Linked DNA regions of Mus musculus. The protein of the gene in region 1 interacts with the protein of each later gene in a pairwise test. Links are inferred from orthologs where the notes say so. Each region holds a gene or a part of one and is shown in the gene's direction. Other genes may lie near its edges.

The links.
Region 2: the proteins of Bcl2l2 (region 1) and Bmf interact in binary tests that used the Homo sapiens proteins (3 or more experiments, as listed by UniProt). The two-hybrid records come from large-scale screens. The link is inferred for Mus musculus from reciprocal best matches to the Homo sapiens genes BCL2L2 and BMF.
Region 3: the proteins of Bcl2l2 (region 1) and Kash5 interact in binary tests that used the Homo sapiens proteins (3 or more experiments, as listed by UniProt). The two-hybrid records come from large-scale screens. The link is inferred for Mus musculus from reciprocal best matches to the Homo sapiens genes BCL2L2 and KASH5.

The regions. Positions count from the first base shown.
Region 1 is NC_000080.6:54,882,107-54,886,318, forward strand, and holds the start of Bcl2l2 (bcl-2-like protein 2), read left to right. Parts: upstream 1-1,318; 5' UTR 1,319-1,400; exon of another isoform or gene 1,401-1,598; intron 1,599-1,690; 5' UTR 1,691-1,778; intron 1,779-2,244; exon of another isoform or gene 2,245-2,267; 5' UTR 2,268-2,275; coding exon 2,276-2,707; intron 2,708-3,277; coding exon 3,278-3,427; 3' UTR 3,428-4,212. UniProt on the Homo sapiens protein: Promotes cell survival. Blocks dexamethasone-induced apoptosis. Mediates survival of postmitotic Sertoli cells by suppressing death-promoting activity of BAX.
Region 2 is NC_000068.7:118,546,740-118,550,824, reverse strand, and holds the start of Bmf (bcl-2-modifying factor), read left to right. Parts: upstream 1-1,138; 5' UTR 1,139-1,162; coding exon 1,163-1,285; intron 1,286-1,654; coding exon 1,655-1,784; intron 1,785-3,225; exon of another isoform or gene 3,226-3,444; coding exon of another isoform or gene 3,445-3,454; exon of another isoform or gene 3,455-3,531; intron 3,532-3,812; coding exon 3,813-4,085. UniProt on the Homo sapiens protein: May play a role in apoptosis. Isoform 1 seems to be the main initiator.
Region 3 is NC_000073.6:45,183,031-45,185,536, reverse strand, and holds the end of Kash5 (protein KASH5), read left to right. Parts: intron 1-207; coding exon 208-259; intron 260-1,283; coding exon 1,284-1,348; intron 1,349-1,428; coding exon 1,429-1,545; intron 1,546-1,645; coding exon 1,646-1,787; 3' UTR 1,788-1,861; downstream 1,862-2,506. UniProt on the Homo sapiens protein: As a component of the LINC (LInker of Nucleoskeleton and Cytoskeleton) complex, involved in the connection between the nuclear lamina and the cytoskeleton.

The DNA.
Region 1 (4,212 bases):
CTTCAGGAGTCCTGGGTGGGGGGAGAGGTGGGAGGATCAGCACACTGATGAGTGCCCTCCTGTGGATCTGCTGTAGTCAGAAAGCTTCTTGCCCTGGAAACTTGCTCTACAGAAAGATATTATCACATGCTGGATAGTGGTGCCTCGGGCCTTTAATCCCATAGTGTCTGAGGCAGAGGCAGGCCAATCCCTGTGAGATCGAGGCCAGCCTGCTCTATAGAAGTGAGTTCCAGGGCAGCCAGGGCTACACAGAGAAGAAACCATGTTTCAAAATACACACACACTCGGTTTTTATATATACATATTTTTACATATATATATATACATAAATGCACATATAAATAGATATATGTATATTATATATACATATATGTGTATATTATAAATATGTATATGGAATATATAAAAATATAAAAATATTTACATATACTATACTGATATACTTTATATTTATATGTATATTGATACATTTATAAATTATATATAACATATATATTTATACTTATAAACATATTTATATTGTATGTGTATATATAAAAGCACATATTTATATAAACATATGTGTATGGATAAATGTATATATAATCCATGTATATGTGAATGTAGATATTCACATGTAAATTATAGATATATGTAATCTGTAAAACAGGTATTAACCCAACATTGGTAACCTGTATTTAGAGAGGGTGTGTAAGATTAGTAAGCTTGTATCAATTTGTGCCTTTTATTGTTTGATTTTTGTTTTAAATAGTAAGAATTAACTCCTGTGGTGGGTAACAAATGAAAAGAAAATCAATCTGATTACAAAAGATGAAGATTGCTTGTGGACACTGTAAACCAAGGCCTGACACCTTGATACCTAGCTGAAACTCCAGCCAAGGAAGAGCCCACTGCATTAAAGGTCCTGAGGGGAAGTATTTTTGTGTTTAGTGTTTCTACTAGCCCCACAAGGGCAAGAGGTTGTTCCCAGCTTAATAGGAACTGCTCTGCTTTTCCTAGGCACGCAATCCAAGCTGGAAAGTTCAACAAGTGCGTGAACAGAAGAGACCTTCCGGAAATGCTGAATTTGCACTGAGCTGCTGAGGCCCGGTGTGTTTCTCTGGGGACACTGCGGGCTTCGCAGGCAGCCGGCACAGGTCACTATGGCCTCTGAACAGCCCTTCAATGGCCCTCTCTTCCTGGAGTTGTGGCTCTTCCCAGCCCTGCCTCCCAGCCCCGCCCCTCTCTCTGGACGCATCTCTGTGTCCCATCATCACCCGGCGCCGGGCCCTCCCTCCCTGCCCTCCCCTCCTCCCTCCTTCCTTCCTTCCCTTCCTCCCTTTCTCCCTCCCTCCCTCCCTCCCTCCCAGCTCCTCCACCAGGAAACAACCGGATTCCGGATCCCGGCTGCGGCCTGACCCGTGAGATTCCTTAACCTGGCTGGCGGGCGGGGTTGGAGACCAGCTAAGGGTGGGGGAATGGGAGGAGCTGGGCCTTTGGGCTGCTCTTGGGGGTACCGGGAATAGAGATGGTGTCGGCAGGAAGCCCGTGGTCCCGGGTTTCCCAAGAGGGCAGTCATTAAACACGGAATCGGTCCCACAGCTGGCAAAGCTTTGGAGGTAGGGGCCCAGTCCCAGGCGCTGCAGTTCCAGTTCTTTCCGGGCCAGACCCAGGCCTTTCCCACCTAGTTCTCTCTCCCTCCCCTTTTCAGGGCTCCACTCTAGCCGGGAGGATGAAAGGCCTCAGCTGGGGGCTCCCTGCCACCAGCACTGGGTCCTAAGAGCTGCCATCCAGGCTGGGTAAGTGTCCTCTTCCTTTCTGCCCCATTACAGCCCTTGGCTTTTCCCATCTTCCTATTCAGCCCCTGTCTCCTCCCTATCTTGTGCCTCTGCCAACATCTTCGCATCATGCTCCTGGGGAGGTCTTAAGCCCCTTCCTATAGCCAAAAAGGGGTGTGTGTGTGTGTGTGTGTGTGTGTGTGTGTGTGTGTGTGTGTGTGTGTGTGTATAGAGGTGGCATACAGCTGGTGCTGTCGTATGAAAGGAATCTGAAGTAGTCTAAAAATAAGATTTCCTGTTGCACACTTAATTTGACATGTTATACGTGGCCAGCTGCTTATGCTCTGAACCTCCCCATGACTTAAATCCGTTGCTCTTTCTTGGCCCTGCCCAGTGCCTCTGAGCATTTCACCTATCTCAGGAGCTTGATCAAATAGGAAATGTCCCTTCTTGCTCTCTGTCAATAATTTCCTTATATTTATGTCAGTCTGTCATCCTTGCCCCTTTCAGCCGCCCGGATGGCGACCCCAGCCTCAACCCCAGACACACGGGCTCTAGTGGCTGACTTTGTAGGCTATAAGCTGAGGCAGAAGGGTTATGTCTGTGGAGCTGGCCCTGGGGAAGGCCCAGCCGCCGACCCGCTGCACCAAGCCATGCGGGCTGCTGGAGACGAGTTTGAGACCCGTTTCCGCCGCACCTTCTCTGACCTGGCCGCTCAGCTACACGTGACCCCAGGCTCAGCCCAGCAACGCTTCACCCAGGTTTCCGACGAACTTTTCCAAGGGGGCCCTAACTGGGGCCGTCTTGTGGCATTCTTTGTCTTTGGGGCTGCCCTGTGTGCTGAGAGTGTCAACAAAGAAATGGAGCCTTTGGTGGGACAAGTGCAGGATTGGATGGTGGCCTACCTGGAGACACGTCTGGCTGACTGGATCCACAGCAGTGGGGGCTGGGTAAGAAGTTCTCAATTGCTGCTCTCCGCATCCCTCTACAAAGTTGGTCTTCATGGGAAAATAGGGCCTCTGATGGGAGGCTGGGGTTGTGCTGGGAAGGGCTGAGTTCCCTTATTTAAGTGGAATCAGACTGAGAGCATCAAGCTCACAGTACTCCAGGGCTACCATGTAGTAGTAGCTGGATGGGCTTCACGGTCCCAAGCAGAAGACTGAATATAGAGTTTTATAAACAGAGAACCTTCAGCGAATAATTGTGACCCCTGCGTACATAGTATGGGTGGTGAGGCCGGTCAGGGATGGGTCATGGCTAGGCAAGCCTTAGCAAAGGATGCCAGTTCTGAACGGAACTTTATTGCCATGGAAGGGATGGGGCTGACATCACGTAGACAGTGCAGAGGAGCCAGGAACGGGGTTCGGAGGGGCTTGTGTGCAGTAGAGCTTCGGCTGGAGCAGCTGGGGATGGGGGCAGTGCTCACAGTGGATGGAACTGGAACTCTTCCTTCCCTCGTCTCTCCACTATCCTTTCCTGATCTCCCTTTCTCCTTTCTCTACTTCCCTTCTCTCCCACAGGCGGAGTTCACAGCTCTATACGGGGACGGGGCCCTGGAGGAGGCACGGCGTCTGCGGGAGGGGAACTGGGCATCAGTGAGGACAGTGCTGACGGGGGCCGTGGCACTGGGGGCCCTGGTAACTGTAGGGGCCTTTTTTGCTAGCAAGTGAGAAAGTCTAGGGCCAGGTGGGGCTAGGTGTGGCTAGGGGCCAGGAGAGCTGGAACAATAGCGAATGCCCTTGGAAGAAACTGGATGGTCACGGAACAGAGAAAGGCAGGGGAAGGTAGTGTGTGTGGGAGCCCAGCATGCCAGGCAGGTGGCAGGGAGAATGAGTTGGAAACATTAAGGAATGTTTCAAGGCCAAGAACCCAGAGAGTGGAGTCATCCCACGGCTTGGGGGGTGGGGGTGGGGAGGTGGGAGGAATCATGCCCATATCGCGGGCACACAACTACCCGGAACATGGCTTGTAGCTCCAAGGACGGTGAGCTTACTTCAAAGATCTGTGTCTCGACTAGATGAATGGGATTTAGGGAGCCTAGAATTCACTTCCCTTTGGGATGGAAGCTTGGTGATCAGGTGACTGGGTGAAATGGCTGTGGCTGTGGGCTGCATGGGCACACCTGTGCATGTATGTGCACATGCAAGCATGCTCATGTGCATGCTGGGCTGTCTGTCGAATCTGGTGGTGGGGTACTTAGAGAAAACATTCCTTCTTGCTATGGCAAGAACAAGGGCCAGTTCACTGCCCTTCTCCTCTCTGCCCCTTCCCTTGACCTTACGCCTCCAGGCTGAGGGAGGAACACTGTATCTAGACTAGGGCTCTGGTGCTGCCGAGAGTTGTTGGCAGGGCTTTGGAGAGAAGAGTTCTGCAGCTGGCCTTGTTCTTCATCATCCCCCTGTTGTGTGCATCTGTGCACCTGGGCTGAAAAAGGGTAAGGCTGTGGAGCCTGGGT
Region 2 (4,085 bases), on another chromosome or scaffold:
TACTTTTAAAAAATACAGACTCCTCAGCCTGGTATTCCAGGGGGCACCTCTGCAATCTGACCTGAATCTACCTGCCCATACCCTCACATCCTAAATCATAGTGAAGATGCCAGAGAGCTTGATGGGGGGGAGGGGGGACGGGGGGGGCGTGCAGCTGATCTTGCTTTCCAGACATGTTAAGTACTTTATTCTAGCTCCCTGACCTCTCTGGGTCAGGACTGTTTTATTTGGTTTTTATTTAGTGAAATATTCCCCATTCTTCAAGGCCCGACTCAAAAATCTTTGCTTATTATCCCTAAAATAGCACCATTCAAGCTGGTTTCCATCATTCACATGTGAAGTATCGGTTCATTGAGGTCAGGCACCAGAAGTCTAGCACTTAGACCAGGACCTGGCACATAGTAGGTGTTCAAAAAAATGTGGAGTCATCCCTAGATTGGCCATAGTACACGAGATGCGTTTTGCTTTCTTAGCAGTCCAAGAACAGCCTTCTGCTGCTGCCATAGATAGGGCTGTCCGAGCTACCCCTTTGATTTCCCCTCTGCTAGAGTCCTTTTTTCAACAGTGATCTTCCACAGTCTAGAAGAGAGGACATGGCCTTTCTTTGCACTTGATGGATCCGAATGTCATTTGGTTCTAGATGCAGACACACGTGTTCTCCTCCAGCTTTCCTCAGACACGCCCAACAGGAAAGAGGGCAGTTTTTTGTTTTGGTTTTTTATTTGTTTTGCTTTTTTTTTATTAGGGACCAGCAGCTCGGTTTTTTTTTTTTTCCGCTATATATTACAAGGCGCGTCTGAAAACTCCCAGTCTCCTCCTGAGCCGGCTTTTTGGAAGTCCTGCAATAACTCAGCCCATTTCCAAGTAGACAAAAGTCACTTAGGCGTCTTGTCCCCCCACTACCTAGTAGAAAACCTAGGGACTCTCTGTCGTTTCTGGGGCTTGCATTAGGAACCGAATCCTCACCCTCTACAGCGCTCCAATTGCGCTTCTGACGGAGGTCAGAAATGCGCCCGGCCCCTTATAATGTTTCCAAGGGAAGGTTTGTACATTGGTGATTGTCCCTGGCAGCTGCCCAGCTTGAGACTTGGACCTCCACTTGCCATTGGTCAGTGGTTGGAGTGACGCAAAGAGGGGCGGGGCCTCATCAGCTGTTTGCGGGATGCCCGGAGCGGGCGTATTTTGGAAACAATACCGCGCGGTGTGCCGTGGCCTCCTCCCGCGCCAGCTCGCGCCTGCAGCAGTCGCTGCCGCAGCCCGCGCCACCGCCTCCCACCGCAGCCCGGTGAGCGCCCGGGCGGCGGGGGGCTAGGCGGAGTTGGATCGTACCTCCTCCGGGAAGTGGGGAGCGGAGTCGCGCAGCGCGTGGGGGCCCGGGGAAGGGTTTGGACTGCGGGCATCTGGGGTGACCACGGGGAGTTGGGGTGCAGGGATGTGGGAACGAGGTGCAGAGCACAAATTTGTGGTTGCTGCTCCAAGAGGGGCTTTCGGGAAGCATTTGGAATTCGGAGTTAAAAGTAGGTGAGCAAATGATCCTGGGGTCCACTGCCAAGCTCCCGGACGCTCTGGCCTCCGGGTGTAACTGTGGGGTGGGGCCGTAAGTTGTGGTGCATTTTGCCTCCCTGCGGAGTCTGAAGGCTCCTCTTCTTAACAGCTGGAGTTTGCCCCCTTCTTCCCAATCGAGTGTGGGCACCAAGCCCCCCGAGTGTTCTTCACCCTGGACCCTGGCGCAGAGCCCTGGCATCACAACTCGGAGGCTGAGACGCTGTCCTGGAGTCACCCAGGTGTGTGTGCGTGTGTGCATGTGCGTGCGCGTGTGTCCTGAGATCTTAGCCACTATTGAGTTCAAGGTATCTGGCTAGTGCTAACTCCTAAGAGGAGGAGTTTATATTGAGCATCCTAGTTGGATCGCCGAAGTTCTGCGATGGCTCCAGCGGACTTTAAGACCTTTGCTAGGAATAAAGCATTCCCTGGCGGTGCTCTCAGGAAGTGCCCTCTTCCTATCAGTCTGGACTTTACCACTTTAGCTCAGGGAAGCTGAGGGTCTCCACTCTTCCCCAGTTTACTTTTGACTTTGCCCAGAGCCCCTCCGAGGTTCACACTAACTGGAGAGCCACCTGCAGTTCTTGTGCAAAGTGGGGGGGGGTCCTCCGCGTTTTCAGAGCCACACCCTCTGGCTGCACCTCCCCCACTGTCCAGTCTAGGCAAGGGTTGAACTTTGGGGCTTTGCTGGGAGGGGGAGGGGAGTGATAGGCTTCAAAAGAAACACCAAGACAATGACTCCTGCTTGTGATTGGCTCTGGAGAGTCCCTACTTTGGTTGGGATAGCCACACTGCAAAGAAGAGGTTGAAGGACAGAAGAAGCACTGCTAGGTGACATCTCTTGGTCCTTTCATCTGGAAACTTTACGCTGGAGTTACCCCTTTCCTATCGGAACAATAGCAGGCATGGAGTCATTCTCCAGGGAAGAGGGCACAGGACTACGGATAGCTCAGGGGTGGGATGGGGTAAGGCTTGAGGGTTGAAGTAAGAACCTCACAGAGCTTGCATTTGGGAAAGTAAGGTTTCTGAACCTAACTGAGATTTCTGTAAAGACTTAGCCCCACAAACTACTTGGCTTGTCTTTCAAAGGCAATAAAGTGGGGATCGGAACTCCCTGGAATCCCCAGCAGTCTGATGATGACAAAATTTGTCCTTGCATCTCCTTAACCATTCAGGTGCTTGTTGATGCTTCTGGTTGCCCCAGGGGCCCTAACTCAGGCGAGGTCAGCTTGGAAGTTCAAGCTGCCGGGTGACTCCAAGTGCAGAATTTCATGAGCTGTCAGGTGGAGCGAGAGGAACTTAACACTAAGAAACAGCCCCACTGTGTAGGCAGGGAGAGAGCGCTCAGCAGGAGGGCTGAATTTCACTTCCTTCTGCGAGGCACTTTGCACCTATCTCAGGTTCAGCTCTGGCAGGAATGGGAGGCTGAGTGGATGAGAATTGGAAGTCACGAAGATTAGCGAGTAGAATTAGCTGGACACTTTGCTAGAGGCCGATTCAACCCTCCAGATTAACCTGTGGTGAGCAGGCAGCTTTGCTCCTCTGGACGGGAGCTAAGCCAGCTGGCCAGCTGGAGTGACTAAGTTACGTCCCCTGTTCCAGGACACACTCACCACACCACAGAGCCTGTTTGTTGTGTTGTGCAAGGAGGGGGTGGAGATGTGCAGCAGGGTGGGGCTTAGCACGTTAGGAGGGAACCTGGCTGCTCTACAATTCCTGGCTCTTGTTTTTGCTGCTTAGCCTGGAGTTCAGACTTCGCCGAGAGCCTGGAGGTTCCTGCTTAGGAAGTGTGTGTGTGTGTGTGTGTGTGTGTGCACATAAGTATGTTGTGCACTTTTGTATAGTCAGTAAGTGTCCCCTTCTGAGCCTCCACAGCCACTTACAGAGGCTAGTCTTGCTTCTATGTCCCCAGGTACCCGGTGGTAGCACCTGATCCTACCCTTGCTGTTGCTCGCAAATCCTCAGTGTCAAACTTTGTGACCAGCCTAGGTCAGAGGAGGGGGTGGGGTGGGGGATGGGGGGAGGGTGGCTCTGGCAGGTACAGAGAAAAGGCATGGAGGGGCCCTGACCATAGAGGCCACATTTTGGGGGTGAATGTCACCCTTGGTGGTGTTTTATTACCAGGGTTGTGTATCATCAGAAGTTGGCTTGGTTCCCTCACATAAGAAGAGCAGGGGTGGGGGGTGAGGGGGGAAGGAAGGAGGGGAGGGGAATCCTAGGTCTGGCCTCAGTAGGACAGCAGCCCAGATGCTTCCATTGTTCTCTGACAGGAGAGATGGAGCCACCTCAGTGTGTGGAGGAGCTAGAAGATGATGTGTTCCAGTCAGAGGATGGGGAGCCAGGGACACAGCCTGGGGGCTTGCTCTCTGCTGACCTGTTTGCCCAGAGCCAGCTGGACTGTCCCCTCAGTCGACTCCAGCTCTTCCCTCTCACCCATTGCTGTGGTCCCGGACTCCGGCCCATAAGCCAGGAAGACAAGGCCACTCAGACCCTCAGTCCAGCTTCCCCAAGCCAGGGTGTCATGCTGCCTTGTGGGGTGACAG
Region 3 (2,506 bases), on another chromosome or scaffold:
TCACACACCCTGGGGTGTCTGATTTGGGGGCAAAGTAGGAACCTTGGTTCTACCTAGGTTCTGCTGGAAGGAGACAACTAGGAATGCCTGGTTCAAGGGCTTCTGAGCCTTTTGGGGATCACAAACTCCAAAATTTGCTTTTTAAAAATTTCTGAGAATGGGAAAAGAACAGGGAGGTAGGGTGTCCAGTGACTTTGTTTGCTATAGGTTGTCCAGAAGCCAGGAAGAGGAGGAAGAAGAAGAGGAGAGCTGGGTCCTGGTAGGCAATCCCTGGAACCTGTCCTATCCCCAGAAACTGAGGACCTAATCCCAGCTCTTCCCTCAAGCTTGTGCTCCTCAGGAACAGACAGAAAAATCATTTGGTCAGGAGATAACAAGGCCCTCGCTGCAACTAATGAGAGGCAGGGTCGGGAGGGGGAGGCTGAAGGCAATTGGCAGCCAGACTATTCCCCGAAGACCCCAGCTACAAAAGACAGGCTGCAGTTTCCACTCTGAGCCTGGGATCTCACAGATTCCACCCCAATTGCACCACAGACTCCCACACTCGTTGAACAAGGAACTTGTGGGCTCAAAGATCTGGCCAGACTGCCTGGGCCTGGGCTCCTCCACCCTTGTCCGTGGCAGGACAGGTAGAGGTCTCAGCCCAGCTCTTGTCAAGGGGAGGTAAAGGAAGTTGATGAGCGACGAGGCCAGCGACTGAGAAGTGTAGGACAGGCACTGGAGTCCTCACCGCCCTGTCACACTCAGGCCCCTCACTGAGGAGACCCAGCTCCTCTCTGTTCTCAGTTCAGTGCCAGGCAGAGTTGGGTGCAAGACCTAGCAGTTGGGAGTGGCATGCTACTTGGTTTATCACTGCTGGTCATTGTATTTGGAGCAAATGTGGGCATTGGAAGACCCTGACTGGCAGACAGGTGGCCCTTCCAGAGAGACAGAAGGAGGGGTGACAGGCTGGCACTGGGAGGCAACTTAGCCATAGCATGTGTGCCTGGCATAGGAACACGCACCTGTAAACCAATGCCCTGGGGGGTGGAAACTCAACAGGATCAGGTGGGAGGAGGAAGAGAAGTGTGGGCTGAGAGTCTCTCGCCCTCGTTAACTACTGTGTCATAGGCACTGTTCTTGCCCTGCCTGCTCTCCCCATTCACTCACTCACCCGGCGAGCAGAAGGCTGTAGTCATCCCTGACCAGCGGGGACACATGGCCTCCTGTGTAGTCTGCATCCAGGGTGCTGACTAAGGGCTGCAAATTCAGTGACTGGATGTGTTCTGTCCTTCCTCACCCAGGCTGACCCTTCCAGCCCTCTGGGAACCTATCACCATAAACTTGCCCCAGGAAGCTCTCGTGAGAGGTAAAGAGACACTTGGGAACTGGGAAGGGACTTAGGACAGACCAAGCCTAGTAATAATGTCTGTCCCTTCTGCCTTCCAGTTGCCACATTGTACCAGAGATGCACCAAGCCCTCATGCCTGTGGTGAGAGACCTGGTGCCAGTTGAGAGGTCACGGACCCAGCACTGTCTGCATCCCCAGCACTCCCCAGGGATCAGGTGTGCCCTTTAAATGTCCCCAGGTGCGGGTGGGGGTGCCATGAGTTTGTGAGACCCATCTTCCTGGGGCCACCGTCAGCCTCTCCTGCCTCCCCTCCAGAATCAGCCAGCACCCACTGGTCCCCACACCCGTCTTGGGCCTGCTGCTGCTGCTGCTGCTCTCCATCCTGCTGTTCAGCCAGTCCCCGCCACCCACCTGGCCTCACCTGCAGCTCTACTACCTACAGCCGCCACCAGTGTGAGGCACCCTTCCCACCACTATACCTCCTCCGTCAGCATGGGACCCACATCCCTAAGTTGTGTTATGTGACCATGACCTCTCCTGGCTCTCTCCTGTTTCTTAACAATAGCAAATCACATAGTAATGACTTCACAGGATGATTTCCTCATCACACAAGTTCGGGGGAGGAGGACAACTGGGCCTCCACTGGGTCAAGAGGGAACCCAAGGTCTCTAAGTTTTTGCCATCCTTCTCTCCTGCTTTGGAGGCTGCTATTGTAGCATCATCACAGGGCAGGCCTGGAGAGAGCTTGCTGTCCCTGAGTTGTATCTCTTTGTGGTAGGCCAGGCAGGCTCCTCTGCTCTGAGTACATAGCCTGGTCAGTCAGAGTGTGTCTGAGCAAGCAAGCCAGAGGCTTCTCTGACAGCTCCTCAGTGGCAACTTCATGAAACATGGGGCTAAGCAAGACCACTGGCTTGCAGACTCTGAGCTCTGGAATTGCCAGACTGCTCTGAGTGAGGCCTCTGGATCATAAGCACTCCAAGCCAGGACCTTGCTGCACCCTCGGCTGCACTCAGTTTCCCCTTCTTAACACTGGCTCCATGGTTTACAATGCCAGGAGCCTCTTGGAGCCTTTGGACTAAGATGGGTGCAGCCTGAGAACACACACACACACACACACACACACACACACACACCTACATACTACGCATGCATGCACTATTCTCTGGAGCTGTTCTC